3 linked regions of the Elephas maximus indicus genome follow. The protein of the gene in region 1 purifies or fractionates together with the protein of each later gene. This does not show direct contact. Links are inferred from orthologs where the notes say so. Each region holds a gene or a part of one and is shown in the gene's direction. Other genes may lie near its edges. The genes, in order: RAB11A, EVI5 and WDR44.

Region 1 (10,998 bases):
TCATACCGGCTCAGTGTGACAGAGTAGAACTGTCTCATAGGGTTTTCTTGGCTTTGATTTTCACAGAAACAGATTGCTAGGTCTTTCTCCTGCAGAGCCGCGGGTAGGTTCGAACTGTCAACCTTTCGGGTAGCAGCTGAGTTGCACTTAACCGTTTGTGCCACTGCGGCTCTTGCTTCCACTCCTATTATCTTACAATCTATTCTCAACGAAGCAGCCAGATTTTTCCTTTTTAAAATGTAAGTCAGATCATGTCATTCTTCTGATCATAAACCTTCTAGTGGTTTCCTGTTTTACTCAGAGTATAAGTCAATGTCCTTACCATGGCCTAGAAGGCCCTCTCTGATCCATTTCTCTCCTACTTCTGCTTCTACTTATACTACCCACCCCTGCCTACCTCACCGGCCCCTTAAAGCCAGACAAGCTTGCCAGACAAGTTCCACCTTAGGGCCTCTGCACTGGCTATTCCCTCTGCCTGGACACTGTTGCCGCAAATATCTGCATGATTCATTTTCTTACCTCCTTCAAATCTTCTCTCAAATGTTACTTTCTCAGTGAAGCCTACCCTGACCACTCTATTTTAAAACTGCAACCTGCTACCTACCTTCCTATTGCTCTGCACTGTAGTTTTCCCTTACTCCTGTTCCACATTCTTTTTTTTTTCCATAATACTTAACCACCTTCTAAAGTAACACGCGGAGCCATGGTGGCACAGTGGTTAAAAGCCCAGATGCTAACCAAAAAGTAGCAGTTTGAATCCACCTGCTGTTCCTTTGAAACCTTATGGGGCAGTTCTACTTTGTCCTGTAGGGTTGTTATGAGTCGGAACTGATGGCAATAGGTTGAGTTTTCTTTTTGTAATGTAATTTGCAATTTACTTACGTATTATGTTGATGGTTTGGTGTCTACCTCCCGCTATTCTGCTAGAATGTAAGCTCCGTGAGGCAGTAAACGTAGGACAGTGTCCAACACATAGTAGGTACTCAATATATATTTTTTGAATGAATGATGATTCTGCTATTAGGTGCAAGCATCTGACTACTTTATCATGTCTTCTATTATCCTTGTGCCCAAGCATTAACATATGAAATCTGTGTCATTTTATAACAAATTATTTTCCTATTTCTGCTTTTTATCGTAGTTACAGCATTATATTGATTAAAAAAGTTTTGTGTGCAGGAAAATATATCAGTCCATAGCCGTCTTAGGCTTTCCCTAAGACACAAATCCAGTATTACTCAGTTACCCCTCTGTTCACAAATCTTTAATGATGACTCCATGTCAGAGCATCTACCAAAGTGTTCAGAGGCACGCTAACAGGTGTCACATGGGAAGAGAGTTCTGTGATCTCGTGAATCTGGTAAATGCTGTGTTCAATACAGGTAAAAAAAAAAAAAAGATTTCATCAGAGCAGAATTTCTAGAGACTTTAAATTGTCACTGCACTAAGGGAGTTCCTAAGGAGAGAGACAATGTGTAGCTTTTCTCAATGCGTTTGACCATGCAACCCTTCTTTTTCTCAGTGTCTTACAATATATTTTTATAGTATTGGCTTAGTTGTTTGTAGCTGAAATCATTAGCTTTCATTTTCAGTATAACAACAACTACTGGATAAATTAGTATGCAGTAGTATGCCATTAAGACGGATGTTGGAATTAAAAACATTTTTGGAAAAAAGCCTGGTCTGAGCCTGGGTTGTAATCCCTGGGGCAGGAATCGGGGTCCTGTCTCTGGTTTCTTTCTTTGTGTGTGTGTGTGTGTGTGTGTGTGTGTGCTTTAGATGAAAGTTTATAGCTCAAGTTAATTTCTCATACAAAAATTTATACACATATTGTTATGTGGCACTAGTTGCAATCCCTATAATGTGACAGCACACTCCTCCTTTCCACCCCGGGTTTCCCGTGTCCGTCCAACCAGCTGCTGTCCCTTTCTTCCTTCTCATCCTGCCTTCGGACAGGTGCTGCCCTGTTGGTCTCATGTATCTGCTTGAACTAAGAAGCACACTCTTCATGAGTATTATTTTATGCTTTATAGTCCAGTCTAATCTTTGTCTGAAGAGTGAATGGTTTTAGTTCTGGGTTAACAGAGTGTCTGGGGGCCATGGTTTCGAGGGTTCCTTCAATCTCAGTCAGATCATTAAGTCTGGTCTTTCTATGTGAATTTGAGTTCTGCATCACACTTTTCGCCTGCTCCATCAGGGACTCTCTGTTGTGTTTCCCGTCAGGGTAGTCATTGGTGGTAGCCAGGCACCATCTAGTTCTTCTGGTCTCGGGCTGGTGGAGTCTCTGGTTTATGTTGCCCTTTTGTCTCTTGGGCTGATATTTTCCTTGTGTCTTTGATGTTCTTCATTTTCCTTTGTCCCAAGTGGGTTGGGACCAATTGATGCATCTTAGGTGGCTGCTCACTAGGCTTTTAAGACCCCTAGATGCCACTCACCAAAGTGGGATGCAGAACATTTTCTTAATAAACTTTGTTATGCCAATTGACCTAGATGTCCCCTGAAACCATGGTCCCCAGACTACAGCCCCTGCTACTCTGTCCCTCAAAGTGTTTGGTTGTGTTCCGGAAACTTCTTAGCTTTTGGTTTAGTCCAGTTGTGCTGACTTCCCCTCTATTGTGTGTTGTTCTTCCCTTCACCTAAGATAATTGTCTACTATCTAGTTAGTGAATTTCCCTTTCCCTCCCTCCCTCCTCTCCCTCGTAACCATCAAAAAAAGTTTTCTTCTGTGTTTAAACCCTTTCTTGAGTTCTTAGTAGTGGTCTCGTACAATATTTGTTCTTTTGTGACTAATTTCACTCAGCATAATGCCTTCCAGATTCATCCATGTTGTGAGAATGAATATTATGAACACAGTGGAACACTATGCAATGATAAAGATCAGTGATCAACCTGCGGATTCATCATTGATCTTTATCATTGCATAGTATTCCATTGTGTCGCATAGTATTCCATTGTGTGTATATACCACAATTTGCTTATCCATTTGTCTGTTGATGGCCACCTAGGTTGTTTCCATCTTTTTGCTATTATGAACACTGCTGCAATGAACATGGGTGTACATGTATCTATTCATGTGACAGCTCTTATTTCTCGAGGATATATTCCAAGGAGTGGGATTTCTGGATCATATGGTACTTCTATTTCTAGCTTTTTAAGGACAAGCCAAATTGATTTCCAAAGTGATTGTACCATTTTACATTCCCACAAGCAGTGTGTAAGTGTTCCAGTCTCTTCACAACCTCTCCAACATTTATTATTTTGTGTTTTTTGGATTAGTGCTAGCCATTTTGGGGTGAGATGGTATCTCACTGTAGCTTTGATTTGCATTTCTGATCATGACCATTTCCTCCTGTCGTCTCCCAGCCCAGCCTCTCTACCCTCATACAAGTTGCCTGAATGTCTTCTTTGGTGAAGTGTCTGTTCATATCCTTTGCCCATTTTTTAATTGGGTTTTTTTTTCTGTTGTCGAGGAAACCCTGGTGGTGTAGTGGTCAAGACCTTGACTGCTAACCAAAGGGTTGGCAGTTGGAATCCACCAGGTGCTGCCTGGAATCCCTACGGGGCAGTTCTACTCTGTCATATCCCGTCGCTATGAGTCGGAATCAACTCAACAGCAATGGGTTTTTTGGTGTTGAGGCTTTGCAGTATCTTGTAGATTTTAGAGATTAGACCTTGAGTGGGTATGTCGTAGCCAAAAAATTTTTTCCCAGTCTGTATGTTGTCTTTTTACTCTTTTGGCAAAGTCTTTTGATGAGTAAAAGTGCTTCTTTTTTAGGAGCTCCCGGTTATCTGGTTTCTCTTCTGGTATTTATGCATTGTTAGTTATATTTTGTATTCTGTTTATGCTATGTATTAGGGCTCCTAGCATTGTTCCTATTTTTTCTTCACGATCTTTATCGTTTTAGATTTTATATTTAGGTCTTTGATCCATTTTGAGTTAATTTTTGTGCATGGTGTGAAGTACGGGTCTTGTTTCATTTTTTTGCAGATGAATATCCAGTTATGCCAGCACCATTTGTTACAGACTTTTTCCCCCCATTTAACAGACTTTGGGCCTTTGTTAAAAACCAGCTGCTCATAGGTGGATGAATTTATGTTTGGATTCTCAATTCCATTCCATTGGTCTATGTATCTGTTGTTGTACCAGTACCAGGCTGTTTTGACTACTGTGGTGGTGTAATAGGTTCTAAAATCAGATAGTGTGAGGCCTCCCACTTTGTTCTTCCTCTTCAGTAATGCTCTACTTATCTGCCAATCCTTCTTTTTAGGAAGACTATTGACCTCAAAACACGCATTGTAAAAAATGACTTATGGGGAAAAGTTCAAAAGTCTTCTGGCATCAACACCTTGCTCAACATATTCTTACCATCTAATTTCTCCTGCTTCCCGAAATGAGTTTCCTTCCTAGAGTTTTCCTTTAGAGGATGGAGCAAGTTCCACCTCCTCCAGGGCGTTCTCCCTAATTATATCAGTCTCTCTGAACTTTGGCACTTATCACAAGAACTCTCACTAGTTATTCCTACTGAACTGTTTAGTTATTGATATTCCCTCTTTCTTGGGCCCATCTTGTCTGATCCCTGAGTAGGGCTGGGACTGTGACTTAAGAATAATCTGTAGTAGCATGTAATAGGTATCCCGTAAATACTTGATTGTTTGTGTAACATCCTGCCTCTCCCCTAATGTGGATAGTGTTCACTCCGTGCACAAGGCAGTACCTAGGACCTTAGATAAACCTTCTATCACTTTATACTGGCAGAGAAAGCACTGACAATGGCACTGCATTAGTTTCATATTGCTGCCATAAGAAATGATCACAACTAGGTAGCATAAAACAATACAAATTTATTATCTATGGTTCCGTAGGTCAGAAGTTTGACATGGGTCTCACTGGGCTAAAATCAAGGTGTCAACACACTGTGTTCCATTTGGGGCTTTAGGGGAGAATCCGTTTCCTTGCTTCTAGAGGCCTCTTCATCCCTAGGCTCATGGCCCCCTTCCTTCCTTCACCTTCAAAGCCAGCAAAGGCTGGTCCATCCTTCTTACATTACATCGCTTTCACCTCTTCTGCCTCTCTCTTCCACTTTTAAGGACTCTTATGACTACGCTGGGTGCACATGGTTAATCCAGAATAATCCATCTATTTTAGGTCAGCTGATTAGCAACTTTAATTCTTCTTTGCCATGTAACCTAACATATTCAGTTTCCACGGATTTAGGGCATGGACTTTTTTGGAGGGCCATTGTTTCTGCCTACAAGTACCCTTCCCCAAAAGTCTAAATTGAGAGTTTGTATATAGGCAGTATGTACGGCATGTTACAATAAATGGGAAAGAGCTCTGTGGAATTACAAAACTCTCAAATATAAGGAGGCCTGCTGTGATCCTTGGCAAATCACTTCAGTCTTACTATTCACTAAAATGGAAAGTAAGCCACTAAAATGGAAATTGCTGTCCTTTGCTCTTCCTGTTAAATGATTGTGAAAACGGGCTTACTTTAAGTTAGAGGCTGACAAATAGTAAAGGCTCACAAAGTTCTGGATGAATCTTGATGAGGAGGGTGGGCCAAGTCCTCTGAGTGACATCTGGAGATAGTTTGAGAGATTTCCAGAGAGGAGCGAATAGAAGAGCCTGCCTGTTCTTTAATGGAGCTGGAGATAGAAAATTCCAGCAAAAGGAATTTCACTGAAGAAGCTTTTGAATTAGGGTTTGAGGCTAAAGAGGCTAAGTGAAGAAGCTCCTTCCTCACAAGATCCTCATGTAGAGGTGGCAGATAGTATGGAACTGAAAGGGATAATCTGTGAGGTCTCCAGAGGCAAAGATTGTGTTTTGCGAAATTCTCATTCTATTTAGTTCAACGCCAGACCTAGCGCAGTTGTACAACAACGACTTAGTGAATAAACGAACTATAATTGTGATCAGAAAAAAATTAGCCGTTGCAGGTTCCACCGAGATTTGAACTCGGATCGCTGGATTCAGAGTCCAGAGTGCTAACCATTACACCATGGAACCGCCACACTTATGCAGCCGCCTTCAGCTGTCTAAACCTTAGAAAACCCCGCCCCCATCCACAAACCCACTATTCGGAGGCGGGTCTGATGCGCTCCCAGCGCCGGTTCCGGCAAGGCAGTGCGAGGTGCGTATGGAATGAACGAGAGGCCATTAACGGCGTGATCAGCTGGGCATCCAGGACTCGTTTTCCTATTTGAGCTTCCTTGAAGGACTAAGAAACGGAAGGCTGTCGCGACCCTGGCCGCGTACCACGTTTCTGGGCTTGGAGGCGGGGCACCGCCTCCCCGGAAGTACTTCCCCTGAGGGGCTGGGGCCTGCCGGAAGTGGCGCAGCGGCAGGGCGGGGCTCTTTACCGGGTCCGGCATCTGAAGCTCGGCGCTCGGGTTACCCCTGCAGCGACGCCCCCTGGTCCTACCGACCGATACCGCTGCTGCTCCCGCCCCTTCGCTCCTCGGCCGCGCAATGGGCACCCGCGACGACGAGTACGACTACCTCTTCAAAGGTGAGACTGTGGGCTTTCTCACTCTCTACCGAGTCCCCCCTCGGGGGCCCGGGACACTCCCGGGGGACCCGCGCGCGGGCCACCCCTGTGCCGACATGGGCCTGCCTCAGCCCTTCCTCTCTGTGCCGTTCGTCCTGCCGTCTCCCAGCCCAGCCTCGCTCCCCTCACACAAGGGGTCCCCACCACACACCCATCTTAGCGACCTCCCGTAGGCCCCCGCTAGCCCCGGAACCCCTCCCTGGGCGTCCTCCCGGCGACTGCCTTCTCCCTTCTCCCGGAGGGTTTTCCTCCTTCCTTCCCCGGGGCGCCCAGGCCCCTTCGAAGGGCCCCTCGTGCCATCTCCCTTTTCTGCCTTTGCGCCTCCTCCCCCTCAGGGTACAGCGGTCTCCGCGCACAGCCCCTCCGGGAGCCCCTCCGGCAGGCCCTTGGCTTCCCTTTTCGGCTGTCCTTCGGCCCGGGGACTCCCACTCCAGGTCTCCTCTGCTTCTCTTTAGCCCGGAGCCGGCCGGACGCCCCTCCTAGCCGGCTTCCCTCGCCCCCCCCTCCCCCGGCCAAGCCCTGGTAAAATCTGAGCGGGTCAGTGGCCTCCACCCGCACCCCACCGCTGCCCCTGCTATTCTCGCGGTCAGTAACCTCCCGGGCCGCCCCGCGGACTGGCAGCTTCTCCTCCACCATCCCTCCCTTCCACGTCTCTGGTGCGACCCCGGGGGGCGGGCGGGGGGCCAGGGGAATTGTGTCACCCAGGCGCGCGCTTGTCGCAATGACCCGGCACACGGATAGGACTTCCCCCTCCTGCCGGCCCTTCCCAGCGGCATCCAGCCTGGGATAACTCGTGAGAAGGGGCTGCGGATGGGTGGTGGCTGTTATCCTTGCCAGACCTGAAGGCCCAGTTCCTGAGCAGGAAAGGTTGTGCGCTGCACAAATACTAGCGAGCTTTATCACTATGGTCTGGTTGCTTCCTGCTGCAACGCTGGGAGGATCCAATCTTTTGGTGTTTTTAGAACAGGAAGGAAAGAGCCCTAGTTGGCTCCATACCTTTTCCAAAAGGTGGTGGGTAAGGGGAGGGGAGGTTGCATGCTTTTTGGGTCATATTAAATATTTATTATAAGGTAGAGAAACATGTAGTGCCCTTGGACAAAACATTTTGGAGAGTGGGGGAAATGGATACAAAGAATTGCTTATTAGTCCGGAAAGAATCCAAATAGCTTTTTTTTTTTTAAATCATCAAGGATGAAGGATACACTTTTCAATGAGAAAATAGTACAGTAAATGCTTTTTTGTTTAGTGAATGTTCTCTCACGCCGATGCGCTTTCTCTGCTTCTGAATTAGGAGGGCAGGCGTCAGTAATGTGCTGAACAAAGATCATTACTGGGGAGGAAGAAGCCATTGCTATTAAAGCTTCACAGTGGAGGGTGGAGTTTAAACGGAGTGTTAGGCAGTGTTTCTGACTTTGCCATTGGGTGCTAGGAATGACTGACTAAAGGAGGCAGGAAAAATTTCTTTGCTTCACCAATACTTCGCAAATCTTATTATACTAGCTACCCTTGTCATCACTTACTCCTCTGGGCCAAAATATGGCCCAGAGGAGTATAATAGTGGGGTTCCAACCTTCGGTATCCACCCTCGCCCCCATGCTGGAAACGCATTTTCAGAGAAGAGGGTCCTTAATGCATTTTACAAATATAAAGGGGAAACCTAGGTTCCTTTATGTACTGCTTGCTGAAGGCATCTGGGGAGATGTGAAATTACTTTGTGAGTCCCTAGAGACTTTGGGGGGTTTAATCATTAAAGTCATAAAGGTTTGTTTTCTTAAATAAGGCACAGTGGCAGAGGGCAGCTAGCTACCTTTGAAGTAATTAATTTAGAATAAGACAGACTGTCCAGAGCATTTCTCCTGTTTGGTCTGTAACTTGAATGATGGGCATAGAAATCCATTAACTTTTTAAATTAATAATTTTAATTGTCCTGAATTGGTTTAAGGAATTTAAACTTTTTTTTAAAGGAAATCTTTAGTTTTTTTTTAATAATTTTTACTGAGCTTTAAGTGAACGTTTACAAATCAAGTCAGTCTGTCACATATAAGCTTATATACACCTTACTCCATACTCCCACTTACTCTGCCCCTAATGAGTCAGCCCTTCCAGTCTGTTAAGGAATTTAAACTTTTGATATCAAAATAATTTTGCAATTAGACCACCTGTCTAACAATGATTGAGGGCTTTGGAATTGCACAGACCTTGATTCAAATCCTGGCTCAGGTCGTATGTTTGCTTTGTGACCTTGGAGAGTTAACCTTCCTGAACCTCAGTTTCCTCACCTGTAAAAAGGAGATAGGACCACTCTATTGTAAGGATTAAATGAGACTGAAATTTTAGCTTCTGTGAGGTTTCGATAAATGATAATAATGAAGAAGTTCTTGTCAGTTTTTTAAACCTTAAATCGTTATAAATATGTGAGCATTTAAATATTAGTAAAGAAACTCAAAACTTGGAGCTTCTAAAGTATTTTGTTTCTATGTTATATTTTATGTTAAGATTTCATTTCGTTGCACATTCTGCTGTTTTAAAATAGTGTTTTAAAAAACGTGGTGATGAGGATTTTCACTTTTTTAAAGTTTTTACAAGATGTGAATCAGTTTTTTAAAACTTCAATGCTTATTATTTAGCCATATTCTTTTATAAATCATATTTAAAAAATATTTTATGTAATGATTATATTTATTAATCAGTATAGTAATGATATTTTAAAGGGAAGGAAGAATAATTTCATTTTTAAATGGTTTTATTCTACAGAGAAGCTGTATGTCTGTTAGAAGGCTTACCTAGCAAACTAAACAGTGAGAGAGTTGGGAGATAGTTTGTAACTGTAACTGATGAAAATGAAGGGATTTTGTGATTAGGATAGGATGTGATTAGAATTCCCAAATGGGAATTCGATGTGGGGAGAGCAGGACAATTATTCTAAATGATGAATTTGTTCTTGAACTTTAATCTTTAGTTAATTTGAACAGTGAGACTTTTGATGGGGGCAAATTAGTTTTATTTTTTTAAAACTGTATATTTTTTTTTAAATAAAAATTGTACAAGTATTTACACACAATGTGTTAAGCCATATGGGACCCATAAGTGAGGTAAGCATCAATCATAGCCCCTGTTTATAAATAAATGTGATAGACACCAGTCTAATTGAAATCACCTTTTCTAAAAATATCTGGATATACAGTCTATTGCTTCCAGCAATTTCTTTTCAGTTTCACCGAAGGTCAGTGGTAATTAACCATCAGCTGATTGTCAGTAGAAAGGCTCCTAGGAACTTCGCTGTCTTGCATCTTGTTGGTAGAAAGGCTCCTAGGAACTTCGCTGTCTTGCATCTTGTCTGTCTTGCATCTTGTTGGTAGAGAGGCTCCTAGGAACTTCGCTGTCTTGCATCTTGGTAGTTTTTCTTTCACAACTTTTGGTTGAGCAACTTGAATTCTGCCGAATCTGGAAAAACTCGTCTGGACTTTGGCCTTATTGAATGCATTTTATTTTAAAGATGCTTTTGGTGAGGTTGGACTGTGAATATAGTTGAAAGAGTAGAAGCATCTCCATGTTCATTTATGAATAGTAGTATGAAAATGATTAGTGACTTTGTCAGGTTGTAACTTTTAGGTCAGATACACTGACTGATACATCAAATTGAATTTCAGATGAGTAAATTAGCAGGAGAGAGTATAAAACTAAATGTGGTGGTAGAGATAGGAATTTATGTTAAATAATGAAAATTTATATGTATATTTTGCTTTTATGGCATTTAGCAGCCTGATGTTTGACATAGATTATGAGCAAAATTTAATATTGGGTTTTAGAGATGATACTTAAAATTCATCAGATGAGGTTAACCAAAGGTGATAAATACTGTCAGGTTATTTTAGAAATGTTATTTAGTTTTGTTTTGGTTATAGATGTTTAATCTCTAGATGCTATTGTTTAATTTGGTTATATTATTTAGTATATAAATACCACATAGATGGCTATAGTTATAAAATGTTTAAAGAGGAAGTACTTTTAACCTAAGATACTAGTTGTGGAATACATAGGAACCAGCCAGTTGCCATTGAGTTGACTCTGATCCATGGTAACCCCTTGTGTGTTAGAGTAGAATTGTGCTCCGTAGGGTTTTCAGTGGCTGATTTTTTGGGAAGTAGATTGCCAGGCCTTCCTTCCGAGGCAGACTCCAACCTTCAACCTTTTGGTTATCAGCTGAGTACACTAACTGTTTCACTATCCAGGGACTTCTAAATAGAAACTCAAACCAAACCCACTGCTATCTAGTCAATTCTGACTCTTAGCAACCCTGTAAGACAGAGTAGAACTGCCTGTAGCATTTCAAAGATTGTAAATCTTTACAGAAGCAGACTGCCACATCCTTCTCCTTGGAGCAGCTTGTGGGTTCAAATTGCTGGTGTTTAGCAGCCATGTGCCATTAACCACTGCACCATCAGGGCTT
Region 2 (11,228 bases), on another chromosome or scaffold:
CTAAAAAAAAAAAATTATTATTATTTTTTTTTACACTAGCTTGGTTTTTTTTTGGCTTTACTGTTATCAGAACATCTTCACATGAAATAACACATCTATTGTTGGGAACTCTTCTTAATCCTTATTAACTTGATAAAGAAGCGAAAGTTTAGAGAGGTCAATTGTCAGACAATTAGGAGGTGGTGGAGTCAGAATTTTTCTAATTTTAGAGTCTTTTATTTACTTATTTTTGCATGGTGGTGTTTTGTGGGAATGGATAATAACAATTATAATGGCTACCATGTGTTGGGAAACCCTGGTGGTGTAGTGGTTAAGTGCTACAGCTGCTAACTAAAGGGTCGGCAGGCAGTTCAAATCCACCAGGTGCTCCTTGGAAACTCTATGGGGCAGTTCTACCATGTCCTATAGGGTTGCTATGAGTCAGAATCGACTTGACGGCACAGGGTTTTGGATCATGTGTTGAATACTTACGTACCTTGCACATATTATTTCACTTAATTCTCACTTTAATGCTTAAATAGATATTATCTCCAGTTTATGGATGAGAAGACTGGGGTTCAAAGAGGTTAAGTACACTTTTGGCATCCATACTTGAAGTTTCTGGTCATAGTCTAGTCACTTGCATTAGTGCAGAGGTTACTAGTTCCGAGAAAATGGAAAGTTTTAGCGGAATTACTACTGTAATTCCACCGAATTTTATCTTGCTTTAAAACAAATATTTCAGAAAGTTAAGAAATGAATGGACTTCTTTTGGTGGGTAGGATGGAAATCGGCACTTGAATAAAATCATTTCTCAAAAATGTCTCTACTGATCTTCCATTTCAGTTGTGCAGTTTCAAATGCTGTTGTTGGGTTGATGTTTTGAATGTCTACCACCACATACAGAACTGATGTCCAAGCTCTAGATTCAGAAAGTTTGTTCTTTACCACAACCATGGCAGATCCAGTTTCTAGTTGTGCACAAGTGCCAAGAGATGGAAATAGAAATGTGTGCTTCTCAACAGTATTCTTCCTAAGATAGTGTCAGTGTCTTGCAAGCAATGGAACGTGGTGGAGGTAGTGAGGTTAAAACCATCCTTACAACTCCAATGAATGGAGGCCATAGTTTGAGTGCCTTTTGGATTAGTACATTGTGGAAAGCAATGCACCTAATGAGATAGGCTGTTAACGATTTCATTGTGAGCCTTCATTTTTCCAAAGCAAAAAGTTCTTGAATATTAGCTGAGAGGTGCGTGGAGTATTGTTTCTTGTTTTTTCAAGAATAGTACTGCCAATAAAACTTTCTGATGGATGGACACATCCTACATGTGTGTTGTCCAAGACAGTAGCCACTAGCCACATATGGCTATTTTTGAGAACTTGGAATGTGCTAGTGTGACTGAGGAACTGAATTTTTAGTTTAATCTAAATTAATGTAAGTTTAAACGTTAATAACCATATGTGGCTAAGTGGGCTGCTGTATTGTACAACACAGTCCTAAGATGTAGCTGAGACAAGCGGTTCTCTAAGGAAGCCAAATACCGGTTGTCCAGGGTGAGGACGGGATGTTGTTCACCAGTGGGTTTGACTACACTGGTGAGTCAAACTCACTGATGAACAACACCCTGCCTTCTGTATCTCGGGTTGTTTTTTGCCTCTCAGGGAAATGCCTCTGCTTTTCCTTTCTGTGAGCAATGGGGCTCACTCACATGGCTGGTTTAAACACGTTTAGCAGTTGAGAGTATGACAGTCTGGGATTTAACCCTTGCCAGGTTTAGAGGGGATGGAACTGGACCCTCCTTTTGTTTCCCTCCCTGACAGTGACACAAATCAACACTAAGAGTGTGCAGCATCAAAAAATAGAAAGCTTTGAGTTGGTAACTGAATTTACTGCACATAAAGCTCTATCTGAGGAGGGTGTCACTGCCCACTGCCCTTGTGCTTCCTCCCTCTTCTGTCCCTCCTGTGAGGTTCCAGAGTGAATGGCAGAGTAGGGGAGAGCTGGAGCAGGAGTGGTGCTCGTGTGAAATTCACAGCATGGAATTTCACTTACGCAAGTGCTTAAGCACTTGTGAGAGGCTTGGAAGGAGGGCAAGTCAGATCTCTGGTTAGAATCAGCTATTCAGTGAAAAGATAAAGTGTAAGCTCTTCCACCAACGAAATTAATGTGCTCAGGGTGAGTGAAGGAATGGGGTAAACTGGGGATAGGGGTAATGGGTACCAGCTTCTCTCCTCAGGTCTGTGACATGATTTGAGATAACTCAACTTAGGCACTTAGCACAGCAGTACTGATTGTATATATACACATATACGTATGTATAGGTATGTGTATACATATATATATAGACACATACATATATTTATATATATAAAAAAACCCCAAAACCAAACCCATTGCCGTCGAGTCAATTCTGACTCATAGTGACCCTATAGGACAGAGTAGAACTCCCCATAGGGTTTCCAAGGAGCACCTGGTGGATTCGAACTGCCGACCTTTTGGTTAGCAGCCATAGCTCTTAATCACTATGTGACCAAGGTTTCCTGTATATACATACATATATGTGCTCTTAATCACTATGTGACCAAGGTTTCCTGTATATACATACATATATGTGTATATATATATATATGTATGTATATACAGGAAACCTTGGTCACGTAGTGATTAAGAGCTATGTATATATATATATGTATGTATATACAGGAAACCTTGGTCACATAGTGATTAATATATGTATGTATGCCTATTACACACAAAAAATCCCATTGCTATTGAGTCGATTCCGACTCATAGCAACCCTATGTAATCTGCACCAATAAAATCAACCCCAGGCTTTTTCCTTGTCGTTCCTTCAAAATACATTGAGCAGCTATCCTGCAAAGTGCTGGGGCTACTGAGAAGCCTACGACAAAATATGGTTTCTATCGTTGTGAAACTCTTGATTTAGTGGGTAGGAAATAATATATAAGCCAAAAAATTACAATTCCGGAGAGGGGACATAGGGCCTCGTGTTTACCACTTTGGGCATGAGACTGGGTTCAAAGCTCTGCTCCACCACTTTCCAATTGTATATACAGGGGGGCAAGCTACTTAGTATTTGTTAAGTCTCAGTTTCCTCATATGCAAGGAGGTTATGATAATAATATCTGCCTCATGGGAATAATATGAAGATTAAAATAGATGATGTATGTAAAGTAATTAGCCAATACTTGTACACAGTGAGTGCTCAACTATGTTTTAGCTATTATTATTTTCTTAAATTTTGTTTATTTTTATACAGTTTTTAAGGAAAAACTTACCTTCATTACAATGCCTAAATGTTACCTATACATTTTTGATAAAATAATACACCTGTGTAACTCACACCCCTCTCAAGATATTTTTATCAACCAGAAAATTTATGTCCCTTCCTAGACAATCTCTTGCCAGAAGCGACCAGTTTTTTCACCATAGATCAATTTTGCCTTTTCTAGAATTTCTAATAAATGGAATCATATACTCTTTTGTGTCATTTTAGACTAGAAAATACATTCACAGGGCTTGAAATTGAAAAGGTACAAAAAGGCATGCAGTAAAAAGTTTCCTTTCCACCCATTTCCACCAGTCACCCGGTCCTCCTCCCTTGAAGAAACCAATTCTATTAGTTGTCTTGTGGGTTTATCCTGTAGCTGTCATTATTAATTATTATAGGGGTTTATATAAGGTGCTTTAGGGACTCAGATTTTAAAAGGTTCTCCAAAGAATCTTGTGACAGCCCAGCTAAAACAATATAGAATCAGTTTTAAGATAACTGGGGTTATTTTAGACTCTGATTCCAAATGTCACATTTCAGCTTTCTGTAACTTCTGTAACCTTTAAAGCCATGTCTAGTTCAAGTTTTAGCATTCTATGACTCTCATTTATTTTCTGGACAAATATATATATTGAACAAATATGGAAATACAACCTTGAACAAAACAAAGCAAGCTCCTGGCCTCATGGAATTAATAGTCCAGTGGAGGAGTAAAAAAAAAAAAATCATGCAAATAATCATACAATTACACTTTCAGTGCAATTCGGTTCAGGGATGGGGCCAAGGTAGGCAAGTCATAGGGTGTTTCTCTACGGTGGAGACCTGAGCTGAGACCAGAGGATGAGGGTTGGGAGAGTTTTCCTGGCACAGCAAAGCATGTGCAAAGACTCTGTGGAGGAAGGAAGCTGGTAAGTAGGAGAGATTGGAAGAGGATAGCCTGGCTGGAGCAGAAAGCAGAAACAGTAAGATCTGAGTGGTAGCAGAAGTAGAGGGCAGGCAAGGTCCTGATCATGCAAAGTTGGTTAGTTAAGGGGTTTTGTCCAAGAGAATGGAAAGCTATTGAAGTGGTTTATGTAGCGTATTTGTTTTTGAAAAAGCAGGGCTTTGAATGGGTAAGGATGAGAATTTGCATTTCTACCCCAAATATACTGAATCAGAATTTACAGTTTAATAAAACCCCCAGGTGATTCTTATGTATAATTAAGACTGAGACCCACCGCTCTACTAGTGGTTCTCAGATTGGTCCCTAACCAGCAGTATTAGCATCTTCTGGGAACTTGGTAGAAATGCAAATTCTCAGCAGGGGTTCAAACTAGAAGGAAGATGTGAAAAAGTCATTGTGGTTGTTGTGTGGAGAAGAGATCAGAGAGGGGCTAGAGGGGGATGTGGAGCCCTGGTGGTGCAGAGGCTTAAGAGCTTGACTGCTAACTCAAAGCCTGCAGTTCGAGCCCACCAGCTGCTCCTTGAAACTCTATGGGGCAGTTCTACTCTGTCCTACAGGGTCGCTATGAATCTGAATCGACTCCAAGGCAAGGGGTTAGAGGGGACGTGGAGAAACCAATTAGAAGACTAGATCTGCAGCTCCGGACTAGTAGCTTAACTGGAGTGGTGGTGGAGCAGATAGATGGAGAGAAGAGGGCGGGCTCAAGGGAAAAATTGGGAGGTAGAGTCAGCAGGATTTGTTGACATCAAGGACGTCTCTTAGTTTATATGGAAAAATTTGCCTCATAAAATTGCGAATTTTTAAAGTTCTGAGCTGGGTGGAGGCCATTACTTTACTTCCTATGTTTTGGTGTTTCCTAACCTCGTTGAAAAAAAATGGAGTTTTTTTTCCTCTACTGAAATGCTTATTACAGATAACCAGGGAGATATCGGTAATGACTCTTGCATATGCAATGGGATAGGACGAGAATTAGCAGATTGTTTCCGTTCCAAAGTTAAGTACTTTCCTTCTAAGAATTTCTTCGTGGATGTTGGATGGCGGCCCAGTGGACGTCATTTATTTATGCCCAGGCTCTACCCCCTGCCGGACTCTGCATAGACCCTGTGTGAAGAGACTAGTGAGGGTGGAACGCTTTGCAATCACAAGTGCCACTTACACGTTGATTATTGTTATTGAGCCCAGGACGGCCTTTTGAAGCCTGAGCATCTGCGCCCCTCGCCCGCAGCCCAGGAAACAGGAGCGTGGGCGGTGCGGCAGTGCGCGCTCCGCAGCCCTAAGCGCCGGGTGGGATTGCGCTCTGAGGGGGTGCGCCTTCCGCAGCTTTAACATGGAAGGGGCGGTTCAAATGACTTGGGAAGTCGCAATTTGCAGGACTGAGGGCTGGTGCTTTGCAAGAAAAACGGAGAGGGAAGGATTTCCCCGCCCCCGCTTCGCTCCGTCCAATCCCTTCGGCTTCTCCTTTTCTTGGCCGGCCAGCCCGGCCCCTAACCTGCACGAATCTATTATGCGGTAGAGGCGGCCGGGTCTCTTTAAGGCCCTGCCGCGCCTGCGCCTTGGGTTTTCCTGACGCGGCCAGGCCGGACCCTGGAGAACCCGGCAGGCGGACGGGCGAAGGGCCGGACAGTGGTTGAGCCAGCGGCGGCATTCTGAGGGGTGGTGGGGGTCGGCGGAGGCCCCGAGTTCGTGAGTTAGTGCAGCACGCGTGAGACGGCGGCCCACGGATCCAGGAGCCGGGCCGAGGCGCTGGGACGCGCGACGGTGGCGCGGCTGCCGGCTGGATGGGAAGTTAATGTTTACAGCGGAGTTCACCCAACGTCTCCAAGGTGAGCGGCGCTGCGCCAGGCCGGGCGGGCCGCAAGCCCGGGCCCCGCGGGGGCGCACGGCGGGGCCCAGGCGCAGTGGGAAGGGGCTGCCGCCAAACTTGCCGAGTGAGCGGGCAGGCGTGCCAGACCCCGCCGGGGCCTAAGTTCCCTGCGCTCGCCTCCTTGCCTGCCGCTTGTCGGGATCCTCCTTCCGCGGGCGCCGGGGAAGAAACTCACCACCGGCGGGTTTTTCTGTAGAGTCCCAGAGGCGGAGGGACGGGGCAGCTTCGGGGCCCTGCACCCCAGCCCTCGAGGCCAGAAGTGGGTTCTCTCTGGGTGGCCTTGAGGGGATGATACCATCTGCGCCCCTTACCTGCAAAGTTGGAGACTCTATATAGCCTCCTTGGATTTTGCGTATGGCGGTGTCTACAGACAGGTGATGGGCATTCCAGGTGTGCCAGGTGACTCCAAGGATGCACTTGGGGAGGGTTTGTAGCCATCACTGAATCACCTTATGACTAGCGGGGCAAGCCTCAAATTAACCACAGGATTTCCGGTAGGTTGGATTGTGGTGTTGGTGTTGGCTCTAGAGTTGCTGTAACATTTTTGTGTTTTTTTCTGTCTTTTGGACGTCTCCTACCATCTCAGGTAGTATCCTTTCACCAAAGAGTTAACCAAAACTTTTGGAATGGTTCCCTCACTTTTCTCCTGTCTGTCGCTATTGGGGATGTTTTCGAAAAGCAGCCGCATTTTCTTGCAAAGATATCTCTTCTTTCGCTTACAATGTGGAATAATAAACTCCTTTCTTTGCTGTAAGAAGGAATTCCAGTGCTTCATGAAGTTCAAGAAAAATTATCTCTTGGTAGTTTTTACTTTGATTGTGGGCTGGTATGTATTAGTGGCATTTTTGTTCTTTAATTATATTTGTAAAATTTTATCAGTTTACCAGAAGCTTTTTCCTAGATCTCTGAGAACTTTGTGTCAGAGGAATCTTAGAAAGTTTATTGAGGTGCACAGAAAAAGTGCACAATTTTAAGTGTGCAGATAATGAATTTTTATGAAATGAACCACTGCACAAATCAAACCCAGTTGCCATTCTGTCTGTTCTGACTCCTGGCAACCCCATATGTATCAGAGTAGGACTTTGTGCATAGGATTTTCAATGGCTGATTTTTTGGAAGTAGATTGCCAGGACTTATATTTCGAGGCAGCTGTGGATGGACTCAGTCTCCAACCTTTTGGTTAGCAGCCCAGAGCGATAATTGTTTGCACCACCGAAGGACTCCAAGAGTATATACTGTATTCCTGTTGCCTTCCAGTCAAGTTTGACTCATAGTGACCCTATAGGACAGAGTAGAACTGCCCCATAGAGTTTCCAAGACTGTAATCTTTACAAAAGTGGACTGCCACACCTTTCTCCCTCAGAATGGCTAGTGGGTCTGACCATTCCGTTAGCAGCCAAGCGCCTAACCACTGCACCACCAGGACTCTTTCAGATATTGTGTGGAGGAGTGGAATCGCTGGTGTTAGACATGCTGGTGGCGCAAATGGGAAAGGTTGGTGGTTCAGTTCCAACCAGCATTTCCAGTGAGAAAGACCTGGTGATCTGCTCCCATAAGGATTCGAAAAAACAAACGAATGAACAAACTCTTTGTCGTCCAGTCGATTCCGACTCATAGCGACCCTATAGGACAGAGTAGAGCTGCCTCAGAGAGTTTCCAAGGATGGACTGGTAGATTCGAACTGCCAGCCTTTTGGATAGCAGCCTGAGATCTTAGCCACTGTGCCACCAGGGCTCCCTCATAAAGACTACAAACTAGAAAACTCTGTGGGGCTCTTCTGTGCTGTCACAAAGGGTTGCTGTGAGTCGAAAGCCAATTCCATCGCACCTAACAACAAGGTATGTGAATGATCAAACTTCAGTATTCATGCTATTGAACATTTTCCCTAAGTGGTTGTACCAAGTAGCAGGGAATAATAACCCAGTTGCCCTACATCATTGCTGGTGCTTGTCAGTGTAAAATTTTTTACTATTCTGGTAGAGGTGCAGTAATACATCACTATGAGGTACAGTAATATATCACTGTGATTTTATTTTGTGTTTTTTTCCTGATGATTGAGGTTGGGTATCTTTTACTGGCCATTTATATGACTTCATGTGAAGTGTCTGTTTAGTCTTTGCCCAGTTTTCCTTGGTATTCTTTTTTTTATTGATTTGTAATTTTTTATTAGGGATATGTGTTCTTTCTGGATATATATAAACCAGTAGCCTTTGTGTTGATTCCAACTCATGGTGATTCTGTGTGGTACAGAGCAGAACAGCACTGTGGCATTCATGCTGACTTTTCAGAAGCAGATTGTTTAGGGTGTGGGTGTATATCTGTGTGTGTATTTACACACACACACACAGCATTTATCTTTTTCCACTCTGTATCTTGCCGTTTCACTGTTTTAATGAATGGAAGTTCTTACTTTTAATGAAATGTTCTTTATTAATCTTTTCCTTTATGGTTACTACATTTTGTTTCCTAAGAAATCTGCACTTAGCCTAAGAAATGACGATATTTTCCTGTGTTACCTTGTAAAAGTTTGATTGTTTTACTTTTCACTTTTAGGGTGTCCAGTTTACAATAAATTCCAGATAGATGGTAGGGGTCAAGATTCACTTTTTGCCATATGGATATCTATTTGATCCAGCACCATTTACTGAAAATATCCTTGCCCCTCTGTTCTGTGGCACTTTTTCATAAATCAGACTGTATAAGTGTCATTCTGTTTCTGGACACCCTGTTCTGCTCCACTGGTCTATTTGTTATTCTGGCGCTAGTATTACTGTATTAATTAATGTAGCTTTATAATAAGCCTTAATAAGTCGTAGTATAAGCCCTCCAGCTCTGTTCTTTGAGATAATCTTGGCTGTTCTTGGCTCTTAGCATTTCCATAGAAATTTCAGCATCAGCTTGTCAGTTTCCACAAATTTTGGAAATTGGGATCGCATTGGATTTATAGATCAATTTGGAAGAATTAACATCTTAACAATATTAAATCTTCCAATTTATGAACATGGTATATCCCTCCATTTAGGTTTTAGAAAATTTCTCTTAGTGATGTCTTGTAATTTTCTGTGTAGAAGTTTTGCATATCTTTTCTTATTTATTTCTAGGTATTTAATGTTTCTTGATGTGATTGTAAATGATTTTTTAAAACGTTTGTGGCTAGCATATAGACACACAACTGATATTTTTCCCTTGCGGGTGGCCCCTCTGGATTTATGTAAAACAAATCCCAGACATTATTTCATCACTGAATTCAAAGTTTCCATTTAAGACCTAGTCTAAGTTCCACCTTGTATATTCTAGTTTTCCAACTAAATTTTACATGGTATTTTTTTTGCATGGTATCTTCAGTGTCTATCATGAACTAAAGATTTAGTATATTGACAGTTACTATGTTAGGGTCTGAGAGTACAAAGCTAGTAAAATGCTGCCCCTGCCCTTAAAGAGCTTAAAGTCTGAGAGAGAGTGATAGTAGGAATTCAAGAAAAGACCACTGTCTTCCACTGGGGGAAGTGCTGTGATGGAAATTGATCTGGCGGCACACCCAAAAAAACCTGTTGCCCTCGAGTCAGTCACGACTCATAGCGACCCTATAGGACAGGGTAAAACTGTCCCATAGGGTTTCCAAGGAGCAGCTGGTGGATTTGAACTGCCGACCTTTAGGTTAGCAGCCGAACTCTATACCACCAGGGCACACGAAGGGGGTAACTAAATCAAAGAGTGTATGTCTGGCTTTCAGTGTTCTGAATACGAGGCAAAGAAAGAGGGCTGTGGTGGTGGGCTTTACTGTTCACACTACACACTTGTGCTTAATCCTTGGCTTTCAGCCTTGGGCCTCACTCCATTCTACTCTTCTTGAGTCTAGAGTCACTCTAGGTCAGTATTTCCAAAGAATAAATTTATGAAATTGTGGGAATGGTGGTGGGGAACGGAACCTGGAGGGCCTAACTGTACATTATACAGACTTTAAACTACTTCCCTTCTCTTCAGCACCATCCTCTCCCCCACTGGTGATATACCTGGAAGCTCTAAGTCCTGAGCCTCTCTGGGGTTCTGTGAGTGAGGCAAATCAGCTTGCTCTCTGAGCATATTCTCTTCAGCCACCCTGTAGGTTCCAACTTCCTCTCCCCAACTCAGTCACTTATTTCTCCATCTTTTTTCTTGTTTCATGGGTTCCATATCTTATCTTTCTGAAGATGTTAATGATCGTTTCTTTAAGCTTTTTTTTCCCTGCATAGCTTGTTTTTCCAAGTTACTTTTTTTCTCTGTTTGGGTTGGTCCGTCTATTAGCAGTAGAAGCCCTCCTCAGAGGTCTGGGAATCCTTGGTTGTGGGCTCATGATTAAGAGTGGGCAGTTAGAAGCTGATTGGAAGTCCCTGAGCTTGTAGATGGGGCTTATTGATTAGGAGTTTTACTCTGGACTCTAAGGCAGTGGTTCTAAGCCTTGACTGCATGCTGGAATCACACAGGGAACTTTAAAAAATTTCCATGCTACTCCCTTGACCAAGTACATCAGAATCTCTGGCTTAGGACCCAGGTAGCAGTATTTTTAAAATGTAGTTGTGGCTGCATACAGCAAAATGTACAAATCTGAAGTGTATAGTTCAGTAAGTTTTGACATGTATACCAAATCCATTGCCATCGAGTTGATTCCCACTCATAGCGACCCTATAGGACAGAGTAGAACGGCCCCTTAGGGTTTCCAAGGCTGTAATCTTTACGGAAACATACTGCCACATCTTTGTCCCGTGGAATGGCTGGTGAGTTCAAACTGCCGACCTTTTGGTTAGCAGCTGAGCACTTAACCACTGCGCTACCAGGGCTCCTCTTGACAAGTATACCCCCATATAACTAAGATATAGAGCATTGCCAAAACCCTAGAAAATTCCTTCATGTTTGTCTTTCCTGTCCTTTCCACTTCCTGCCCAGAGGTGACCTCTATTTTGATTTCTACTCCCATAGGTCAGCATCAGTGTTTTTAAAATCTGCCCAGGTGATTCCAGTTTGTGACCAAGATTGAGAACCACTGGTCTAGGTAAAAGCTGTGCTGACATGCAGTGGTTAAAGTGATGAGCTGCTAATCAAAAAGTCGGAGATTTGAAACCACCAGTGGCTCCATGGGAGAAAGCTGTGCCAGTCAGCTTCTGTAGAGATG
Region 3 (10,356 bases), on another chromosome or scaffold:
TATGATCTGAGGTGATATTTTGAAGCATAAAGTTCATATGTCTTAGTTCATCTCCCTTTAGATAAGGCCATGTATACTACTTACTTATTTTGAAAAACAAAATTATGGCTGGTCCATATTATTAGAAGTGTACCTCTAACATTATACTTTGCTTCTAGAAGCTCCACATCAGTGCATCATTTCACAATTACTTTAAAATTCCCATTACTATTCTCTTTATGTCTCAGGCCTGCAGTCCAGAAAAGATGACTTTGAAATGTAGAAAATATGACTTTTTAACCAGTCGACTGATTACATTCCAAGATTCGCTTTGTAGGTAATTTTTCCAAGTTCATCTTCTCAGTGGCACTTATTAAAATGATCCGGAAGCAAAGTGGGATGCCTGCAATAGGCCCAGGTCTCACAGTCATGTATTGTGTTAGAAATAAATTTCAGGCTTTAAGTTTATATATATATCTACATTGTATATGCTTGGCTATATATTTTCTTTTAATATTTCCCCTTGTTTACAAAATAATCCACCACTCGTCTGTCAGTTTCTCATACTGTAGTGGCTTGCGTGTTGCTGTGATGCTGGAGGCTATGCCACCGGTATCTCAAGTACCGGCAGGTTCACCCCTAGTGCACAGGTTTCAATGGAGCTTCCAGATTAATATAAACTAGGAAAAAGGACCTGGCAGTCTACTTCTGAAAAAAATTGGCCAGTGAAAACCTTATGAATAGCAGCAAAACACTGTCTGATATAGTGCCAGAAGATGAAACCCCTCAGGTTGGAATGCACTCAAAATACGACTGGGGAAGAGCTGCTTCCTCAAAGGAGAGTCAACCTTAATGATGTGGATGGAGTCAAGCTTTTGGGACCTTCATTTACTGATGTGGCATGACTTAAAATGAGAAGAAACAGCTGCAAACATCCATTAATAATGAGAATGTGGAATGTATGAAGTATGAATCTAAGAAAATTAGAAATTGTCAAAAATGAAATGGAACACATAAACATTGATATCCTAGGCATTAGTGAGCTGAAATGGACCAGTACTGGCCACTAAGAATTGGACAATCATATGGTCTACTATTTCGGGAATGACAAATTGAAGAGGAATGGCATCACATTCATCATCAGAAAGAACATTTCGAGATCTATCCTGAAGTACAATGCTGTCAGGGATAGGATAGTATCCATAGGCCTACAAGGAAGTCTAGTTAATACGACTGTTATTCAAATACATGCAAAAGCTGGACAATGAATAAGAAAGACCAAAGAATTGATGCCTTTGAATTATGGTGTTGATGAAGAATACTGAATATACCATGGACTGTCAGACAAATGAACAAATCTGTCTTGGAAGAAGTACAGCCAGAATGCTCCTTAGAAGCGAGGATAGCGAGACTTTACCTCATGTAGTTTGGGCATGTTATCAGGAGGGACCAGTCCCTGGAGAAGGACATCATGTTTGGTAAGGTAGGGGGTCAGCAAAAGAGCGGAAGACCCATGACGAGATAGGTTGACATGGTGGCTGCAACAATGGGCTCAAGCATAACGACTATTTTGAGGATGGCACAGGACTGGGTGATGTTTTGTTCTGTTGTACATAGGGTCACTATGAGTCGAAACTGACTTGATGGCACCTAGCAACAATAGTAATAACTGAAATTGTCTGCAGCATCTTCCCTGGCTACAAGATGGAAGCTGTCTGAGTAGGAAAATTGAAGCCAAAGCACGAAAAAAAGCAGAGATAAGCAAAGATGAGAGATGGACCAAAGGAGTATTGACATCACTTGGGCTCTGGACACAACCATGCCTGAAGCTACTGCTTCTGGATTACAGTCAATTCTGCTATAAGGCAACACATGCAATCCTAAGAATTCCTGTATTACGTAAAACTGGGCAAAAAAAAAAAAATGGCTTAGACAGAAAATGGAGTTGGGAAAGAACATTCAAAAACTTATCAGTTCATATGACCTCGCAATTCCAATCCTAGGTATATACCCAAAAGATTTGAAAGCATCAACGCAAACAGAAACCTGTACGCCAATGTTCACTGCAGTACTATTCACAATAGCCAAAAGGTGGCAACAACCTACCTGTCCATCAACAAATAAGTGAATAAACCAAATGTGACATACACATACAATGGTTTATTACTTGGCCATTAAGAGAAATGAAGTTCTGATACATGCTACAACATGGATGAACCCTGAGAACATTATGCTGAGTGAAATAAGTCAGTTACGGAAGGACAAATATTGTATGATCCCATGTATATGAAATAGACAAATGTATAGAGACCAAAGCTTAGTGGTTACCATGGGTGGGAGGGAGCGGGGAAAGGGAGTCATGGCTTAGGGGACACTGAGTTTCTGTTAATGGTGGTAGAATAATTCGGAAAAAGATAGTGGTAATGGATGTACATGATGTACTATCAATGTAACTATATTATACACATAAAACTTGTTGACTTTGCAAACATCAGATATATTTTTATCACAGTAAAAAAATGAAGGAAAAAAAACCTTTGTCAGTGACACATAAAAAAAATGAACCTAATAAAAATGGTAGCACAATTTTACACATTAACCAGATGAGCCAGTTGCCATGCAGTCAATTCTGACATACCCCCATGTGTGTCAGAGTAGAACTGGCTCTATAGGGTTTTCAATGGCTAATTTTTCGGAAGCAGATTGCCAGGCATTTCTTCCAAGGTACCTCTCTCAAAGCTCCAAACTTTCAGTTAGCAGTTGAGTACGTTAACCATTTGTACCACCCAGGGACTCCTTACAAATGTTAAAATGGTTAAGAAATACATAGATTCTACAATAAAGATGGCACTTTACTTTGAAAAAGACCTGAAGTTTGCCTGTGGAAGTGGGTGTTAGAAGGGTTATAACTTGTTACTGTGAAGAAGCCCTGTTTGCACAGTGGCTAAGCACTTGGCTGCCAACCAAAAGGTCTGAGGTTCGAACCCACTAGTCACTCCACAGGAGAAGGATGTGGCAGTCTGCTTCCTTAAAGATTACAGCCTTGGAAACCCTATGGGGCAGTTCTACTCTGTCCTATAGGGTCTTAAGAGTCAGAACTAACTCGAAGGCAACGAGTTTTGGGTTAGTGGAAGGAGGGTTATCTGAAATTAGACAAAAGATTGTTAACAAGAGATGTGGATAGGTCTAATACATAACACACACGGTGAAGTGAGGCAGCTGGTAGATGCTTGAGGCAAGTGTCTGTACGTGCGTGTGTGTGCATTTTTTTGTATTCTGATGAAGTTTGGTTCGGTTGGATGCAATTTTCTGATTTCACCTAGTGTTTCCTACTGACAAAACCACGCTTAAGCAAACACAAAATTCATGTTATGCTCAAATTGTTCTCTGATACCAATCACAGTGGAACGAACAAGTGTTATAGCACAGCTGACTGTATTTGATCATTCAAGCCAATAATTTCCTTTTTTAAGATAATTCCAGTTAGCTTTCTTCCAGAGTCTTGAACAGTAGCGCACAGCTACGTAATAGTCCATTACACAACATGTCCAGAGTAAAAGGCCTGATAGTATATATTCTAAGTTTTGCAGGCCATACAGTCCCTGTCTCAACTACTCAACTCTGCTGTAAAAGTAGCCATATATAATACTGAAACAAATAGTCTATGCAATGACAATAACAACCAAAAAAATATGTAGATACATATGCATATATGTGTATAGGAAGGCATGTGTGATTATATGGGTGTGGGTATACAGGGGCATCTGTAGGCATGTGTATATACATGTTTATGTGTGCTGCATACATATTTATATACAGTAAATCACATACGGGGCACTACCTAAGTTTTTAACATTTTTAAAAATCCAATTTTTATCTAAAACAAAAAACCCAGTGCCGTCGAATTTTTATCTAGCCTATTTTATTAAGCAGGTTATCACAAAAACAGAATACTTTTCAAGTTACAGGAGTTTGTACAGATTCAAATTGAGTCCTGTAACTGCCATATTGCTACAGTCTATTTTATCTCTGTAAGTCAATAATTCAGAACTTGAGTTTACTAGTTAACACATAGGCTTTTCCCCCAGTTCATTATGTTACATGGGTGTCACAAAACAGCATTTATAAATATTTTTCTATCAATCCACAAAACCAACAGCAATCAAATACAATCTATAATTAAATGCCAACCCATGTCCCTGGCCCCACTCATCTTTTCTGCCGCCATTTTGAGTAACAGCTGAGGCTGCGCAAATCGCTCAAAGTGGCTGACAGCCGTGATGTCAGTGGGAGAAATAATTGTGCTTCACGATCATAAGGAAAGTTAATGTAATCATTTTGAAAGTCAATGCCCCGTTTAAGAAAGAACATCTTGGTCTTTTAAAAAGTACCTTTTTATTTTCATCACTGGACATTGGTCAGTGGAGGAGCACAATTAAGTTAACTAGGTGTTAGCCTTGCAACTGTTTTCTGCTCAGTACATTAGTTACCATTTGACTGACCCACATCTTGGGCGTATGTAAAAATTTCTCTCACATTAAGTGTGGGCAGCGACAGATATTTGTAGAAAAAAAAGTAACTGGAGGCCTTATACTGGCCAAACCCGTTGCCGTCGAGTCAGACTCATAGCGACCCTACAGGACAGGGAAGAAATGCCCCATACGGTTCCCAAGGAGTGCCTGGTGGATCCGAACCGCTAACCTTTTGGTTAGCAGCCATAGTTCTCAACCACTATGCTACCAGGGTTTCCTATACTGGCCCAGCTCCAGCAATAAACTCATCCTAACTCCGTGGAACGGGCACACTCCTCGCGTGTCTCTCATGAATCTTATCCTCTGGCCGGCAGGACTGTATCTAGGGATCTCAGTTAGAGATCTTGTAGTAGATACCACCAAAACTCGTTGCCGTCGAGTCCGTTCCGACTCATAGAGACCCTATAGGACAGAGCAGAACTGCCCCATAGAGTTCCCAAGAAGCGCCTGGTGGATTCAAACTGCCGACTTAACCACTACACCACCAGGGTTTCCAGCGAGATATTCACGTAACGCAAGAGGTGGTGGCCCTGCCTACGCCCCAAGGTGGGATCTTCCGGGCTTGAATTAAGACAATGTAAATGCAAACCAAAAAGGCCACGACAACATTTCCTCATATATAAGAGAAATTTTAAAAACAGACTCAAAATCATCCCTCTTGAAATGCCTCCCTTTGGAACTGCTGAGTAAGTACGTAAAGCAACTCCGCAAAGCCCTACCAACATCGGTGCACACGCCCTCAGAACCCGGGCACCACGTTGCTCCTGCGCAAGTTCTAGACTCCTCCCTTATTGAGGCTCACCACCTCCCTTCCGGGCTACTTCCGGCCCCTCCGAACGCCCTCAACGCGCTTGGGCCGTTTTGATAGGCTTCTGGGGCAAAAGTAATCCGAGCGTTGCCTCTCAGAACTGCCCCCGCCTCCTCTTCGCCACGCCCACGCCTTACCGTCCACCTCCCGAAATCTCGCGATGGTAGGTGCGCGTCGGTGTTTTGCGGACAACCAGCTCTCCCAGCTGCTGTAATTGCGGCTGCGGGAGAAATTGGAGCTGCTGTCGCCGGCGCGCCCGCCCTCCCCCACGGAGAAGAGCCACCGCCTCTTCTTTCGTTCTCCTTGTACACCTAGCGCCAGGAGCGGCGGCGGCGGCGGCGGCAGCAGTAGTCCCCGGACCACCGCCGCCTCCTCAGGCGGACGCTCTCCGGGTCATTCCCGCAGCCCGGCAGCTGAGGGCGGCCCTCTGTCCCTAACCGACTCTTCACTCCAGATTTTCTGCTCCCTTCTCATCCTTGCCCGGGACCCACCTCCCCAGTCTCGCCGGGGTGGAGGACGGCAAGGAGGAGACGAGAGTCACCCTCTCTTCAGGCGGCGCCGGCCCCCTCACCCGCGGGTGTGTCCTATAAATGGCGTCGGAGAGCGACACCGAGGAATTCTACGATGCCCCTGAAGATGTGCACCTAGGGGGCGGCTACCCCTTAACGTAAGTGATTGGAGTTACGGCTCAGAAGCCGAGCATCCCCGTTTCCTGGCTGCTTCTGTGCCTCATATCTCTCTCAGGTCCCGCTGCTTCCCACAATCACACTCCGGCACTTCAGACCTCAGACGTGGGGCTCCTTAGGGAGGGTGATGCAGGGGAGGGGGAGTTACCCACCTGAGTAACCGCGCCCTCCCTCCTCTCCCTGATGAACGGCCCCAGGGGCTCACTCGGAGCCCTTTTCTTGGCTTGCCCTGCTTTTTGCGAGGTGAGACAGCTGACGTGCTTGAGAGCCAGCGATTTGTATTTGCAGGGTTTGGGGTTTACCTTTCAAACGTCCGTTTTGGCCTCGGAGACCATAGATTAAAGGGGCAGTAGCAGGAGTAATTGCGCTTCACATTTTTTTTTTTTCCTTCCTTTTACGGCTGACTTACCTATTCGTTTCAGAGGTAGCTGTAACTCTCCCCTATTTGCTGTCCTCTTTTCCTTGCAGAGGAAGAAAAGGAGTGGAGGAAAGGTTGGGTATTTACTTAGTAAAGTCCTCCAGCTGATGTACTCTAGATCAGCAGTGTGTTATTAAAATAGTACCTTACCGTGAGGCAAAGGAAATCGAAGACAAGGTCCTTATCGTTAGGAAGAATGCGGTCTATATGGGTAGCCGGAAAATGTACACAACCGACTACAGACAAACAAACAAGTGCTGAGTAATCTGGTGGTTGGTAGGAGAGCCACAGCTTTGTGCTCTTTATCTAATTCTGCAAGATGTTTTAGTTTACTTTTGATTAACATGAGAGACCCTGAGTAGGAAGTACAGTAGTTGGAATGCTTCGCTTGACTAGGATTTCTGGTAACCCACTCTTTCACTTTTCAAAGTTGAAATAATGTTGAAAGCGATTTCGCTGAACTTTTATATGGACTTGTGTGGTACTAGAGGCAATGAAATATATTTTCATGCTGTAAGAGCTTGAGAATTGGAAAAATTTGTATTTTAACGTAAGGCACTAATATGGTTCCAGGAGTTCACCTGCCTTCAATTCTCCTGCTTCCTTGCGGAAGAAAAGACCCTGTTTGATGCAAATAAAGTTGTCCCTACATTCTAGAAGTAGGTTCTAAAATCTAATGTATGTGACATAATCTAGACCAAGAAAAATTATCAAAGCGGTCATAAATGTGCATTGGTAGATTACAGATGTGTGTGTAGCCACCAACCTTCATATTATGTTGGATTTTTGGGTGATTTTGAGATCACTTTCGCCACCCTTGAGATGACACTGAATCTCCTTCAGGTTCAACATCAGACAAGTTCATGGCGAGATGGTAGAGGATAGAAAATACATTTGGTTTCAGTGTTGCTGCCTTCAAATTAAATTTTGTTTTTGTGGTTTCCAAAACTCTCAAAAGTAATGAACTGTTAATTCAGGTTAAATGATTGACTTTTGTGTGTATGTATGTGAGATGGAGGGAGAGGAGGAAACAACAGTTTACTTGTTGTAATCAGTTTAGAGCAACATAGATATTGTTCCTTTACGTTGAGTAAAATAAGTTTAATTTTGAATGACAATTACATCCGGAGCTGTGTGAATTGCCTAGTCCAGTGCCTGGCACAAAGAGAGTACTCCAACATTCCTTTCTCCTTCCTTTCTTGGAATTAGCAAATTTATTAACTTCACACAGTGCTTACTTTGTAAGTATCCAGAACTTGGAGCTATTTAATTTATCTAAACTGGATGAGTCATTTTGATAGAATTGATAGTCACTTCTTCCCCAGTGGGATAATACAAGTTCTCAAGGACTTGGATCCTTTGATGCTGGGTGAAAAGTAAAGTGTGTTGGGACCCGGCTTTCTAATTTTAATTCTAACCTGCCCAAATACTGAGTATGTTGAGCTCTACGGATAAAAACTACAGTGTCAGTTTGTGGATTTCACGGCTTCATGTTGTCTTCCCCAAAAACCCCAGTGCGGTCGAGTCGATTCCGACTCATAGTGATCCTCCTATAGGACAGTAGGACTGCCCCATAGAGTTTCCGAGGGAATTTAGAAGACAATTAAGCTCATCTAGGGAATTGCATGTGAAAAGAATTAGCAGTGCTGGGAAGAAAGAAAAAGGTTGGCTTCATTTACATTTTCCTACATCCCTTTCCTCTGGTTTTGTTATTTGCATAAGGTATGGGTAGTTTTTTGGTTTTTTTTTTTATGGTAATGAGACTTGCCTGGGCAACTAAGAACCACCTGGAAATGCAGTGAGAAATGTTGATTTAGTGGAAACAGATGGTGTCACCAGATATGTGGTCATCAGAAATACCTCCTATTCCTTGGTATGAACTGGATTGTCACATTAGACAAACTCCAAGAGGTTAATAGACTGAATTTGGGCACTTTAAGAAATGTTGCTTGCTATTGTGTGTTCAGGAATACAAAGACCATTTCACCAAATCTCACTAAACCGAGTAGGCAGTTGAGAGTTATTTCATGTTTTATTAACCAGCAGAATCTAAATACACAATCCATTTCTTAAAATTGATTTGTTTCTTGCATTTCTGCTCCAATGGTGTCTTCTGCTTTGGTATTCTACTTTTTTAAAGCAAATTTAATAAGTTAAAAATTAGCCTAATTTTTTGGTAGAAAGGTTTTCAATTCCAGTACAGCGTGGTTTTCCTCAGTAGTAGATCGTCTCCACTTTCCCAGCTTTGCAGTATATACCACATTTATAATGTTTTATTTTGTTTGATCTCTAAACTTCGAGTTTCCTTATTTTTATTTTTTCATATGGGGAACCTTAGGCTCAGAGAGGTTGAATGAGTTGTCCTAGAAGACACAGCTTGTAAGTGGCAGAGCTGGGATTTGAAACCATCTCTTCAGACTCCTAGTTCAGTATTTTGTCCTAGTACATCATAGCTACCCAACACGAGGGGAGGGGTAGGGGGAAGGAGGGGTCCTTCCCCAAGATATTCTGGAGTAAAATGCTTTAGTACCATCCTGCAGAGTTGAACTTATTTATTTAAAACCAGCAGCTAGAACTTTTTAGTTCTCTTGGCTGGAAATCCCCTCTTTTTCTTTCAGCAATTATGTATTTTTGTGTTATTAGATAGGAGTTTTACAAGATCATAGCTTGTTAACACTAGAAGGGACGTGAGGGATAAACCCCTTCATAGCAAATGATGTGAAAAACTCAAGCCCAGAGAGGGGAAATGACTTGGCCAAGGTGCCACAACAAATAAATGGCAGAGCCAGGACTAGAACCCAGATCAGTTTCATAATCAGATGTTTTCTGTTAAGGTGCTATCTTTTGATAGTGCGGGAAGGGGAGGAGGAAGAACTGTGGTATAGTAGAAAAGAGGCCTGGACTGTGAGTCATTTCATTTCCTTCTCTTTAAATTGAAAGATTACACTCTGAGAGCCCTTCCAACTCTGTTGAATTGAGGTTTAAGAATATGCTTTTATTGATAAGCTTTAAGTTCTTGAGAAATCTTGCCAGCATTTTATTTTACCTTTTAATTTAACAAACTTAATGACTTTTGATACATGGTCAAGAGCCATAGATTTGAAATTATGGTAAGTATTTATTGAGTAAATGATGTATGAGATGAATGCCCCTGCTAATTAGTATGGGTTATATATACACATCCAACTCGTAGCGACCCTATAGGACAGAGTAGAACTGCTCCATAGAGTTTCCAAGGAGCGCCTGGTGGATTCGAATTGCTGACCTTTTTAACCACTACGCCACCAGGGTTTCCTAAGTTTATATACCCTTTAATGGAATCTTGGTTTTAAGCTAAAGCAAATCCAATCAAAACCAGTTATATATACCCAGTGCCATCGAGTCAATTCCTACATTATATATATATGTATATGAGTCGGAATCGACTCGACGGCACTGGGTTTTTGTGTTTTTTTTTAATATATGTAGGGTCGCTATGAGTCATAGTCCACTTGACAGCAATGGGTTTGGTTTTTTTTTTTTTTTAATGCATGCACAAATAAATGTGACATTTTATGTATTTTTTTTTTTTTTTTAGTGTCAGCCAAATGTTTTTTGAGGCCTTGAAAAAAGGATGGAATCATAATTTTTTTAGAGTTGGAAGGGATGAGAGATCGTTTAGCCTAGCCCTTCCAATTCTCTGATAGAGAAACCTACCCTCAGAGAGGGGAAGTGACACATTGCTGATTGGTGGCAGATTCGAAACTAGAACCCAAGTCTTCTGATTCCTCATTTATAATATGTTGCTATGTCTGTGGATAGAGGGGAAGTATTAGTTGATATTCCTGATATAAGTTCCTGGCACTTCCCTGTTTGCTGGGCTCCTAAGATGGTCTACTCCTATCTAATGTGTTTGTTTCTTCATACCTTGCAATCAGAGGACGTCGGCTGTTA

The links.
Region 2: the proteins of RAB11A (region 1) and EVI5 purify together in Homo sapiens (co-immunoprecipitation; 3 studies listed by BioGRID and IntAct, with this or other methods). This does not show direct contact. The link is inferred for Elephas maximus indicus from reciprocal best matches to the Homo sapiens genes RAB11A and EVI5.
Region 3: the proteins of RAB11A (region 1) and WDR44 purify together in Homo sapiens (affinity purification with mass spectrometry; 3 studies listed by BioGRID and IntAct, counting the BioPlex papers as one, with this or other methods). This does not show direct contact. The link is inferred for Elephas maximus indicus from reciprocal best matches to the Homo sapiens genes RAB11A and WDR44.

Annotation. Positions count from the first base shown.
Region 1 is NC_064831.1:55,953,122-55,964,119, forward strand, and holds the start of RAB11A (ras-related protein Rab-11A), read left to right. Parts: upstream 1-6,323; 5' UTR 6,324-6,469; coding exon 6,470-6,509; intron 6,510-10,998. UniProt on the Homo sapiens protein: The small GTPases Rab are key regulators of intracellular membrane trafficking, from the formation of transport vesicles to their fusion with membranes.
Region 2 is NC_064821.1:149,454,613-149,465,840, forward strand, and holds the start of EVI5 (ecotropic viral integration site 5 protein homolog), read left to right. Parts: upstream 1-6,087; 5' UTR 6,088-6,531; coding exon 6,532-6,573; intron 6,574-11,228. UniProt on the Homo sapiens protein: Functions as a regulator of cell cycle progression by stabilizing the FBXO5 protein and promoting cyclin-A accumulation during interphase. May play a role in cytokinesis.
Region 3 is NC_064846.1:38,682,841-38,693,196, reverse strand, and holds the start of WDR44 (WD repeat-containing protein 44), read left to right. Parts: upstream 1-5,479; 5' UTR 5,480-5,909; coding exon 5,910-5,986; intron 5,987-10,356. UniProt on the Homo sapiens protein: Downstream effector for Rab11 which regulates Rab11 intracellular membrane trafficking functions such as endocytic recycling, intracellular ciliogenesis and protein export.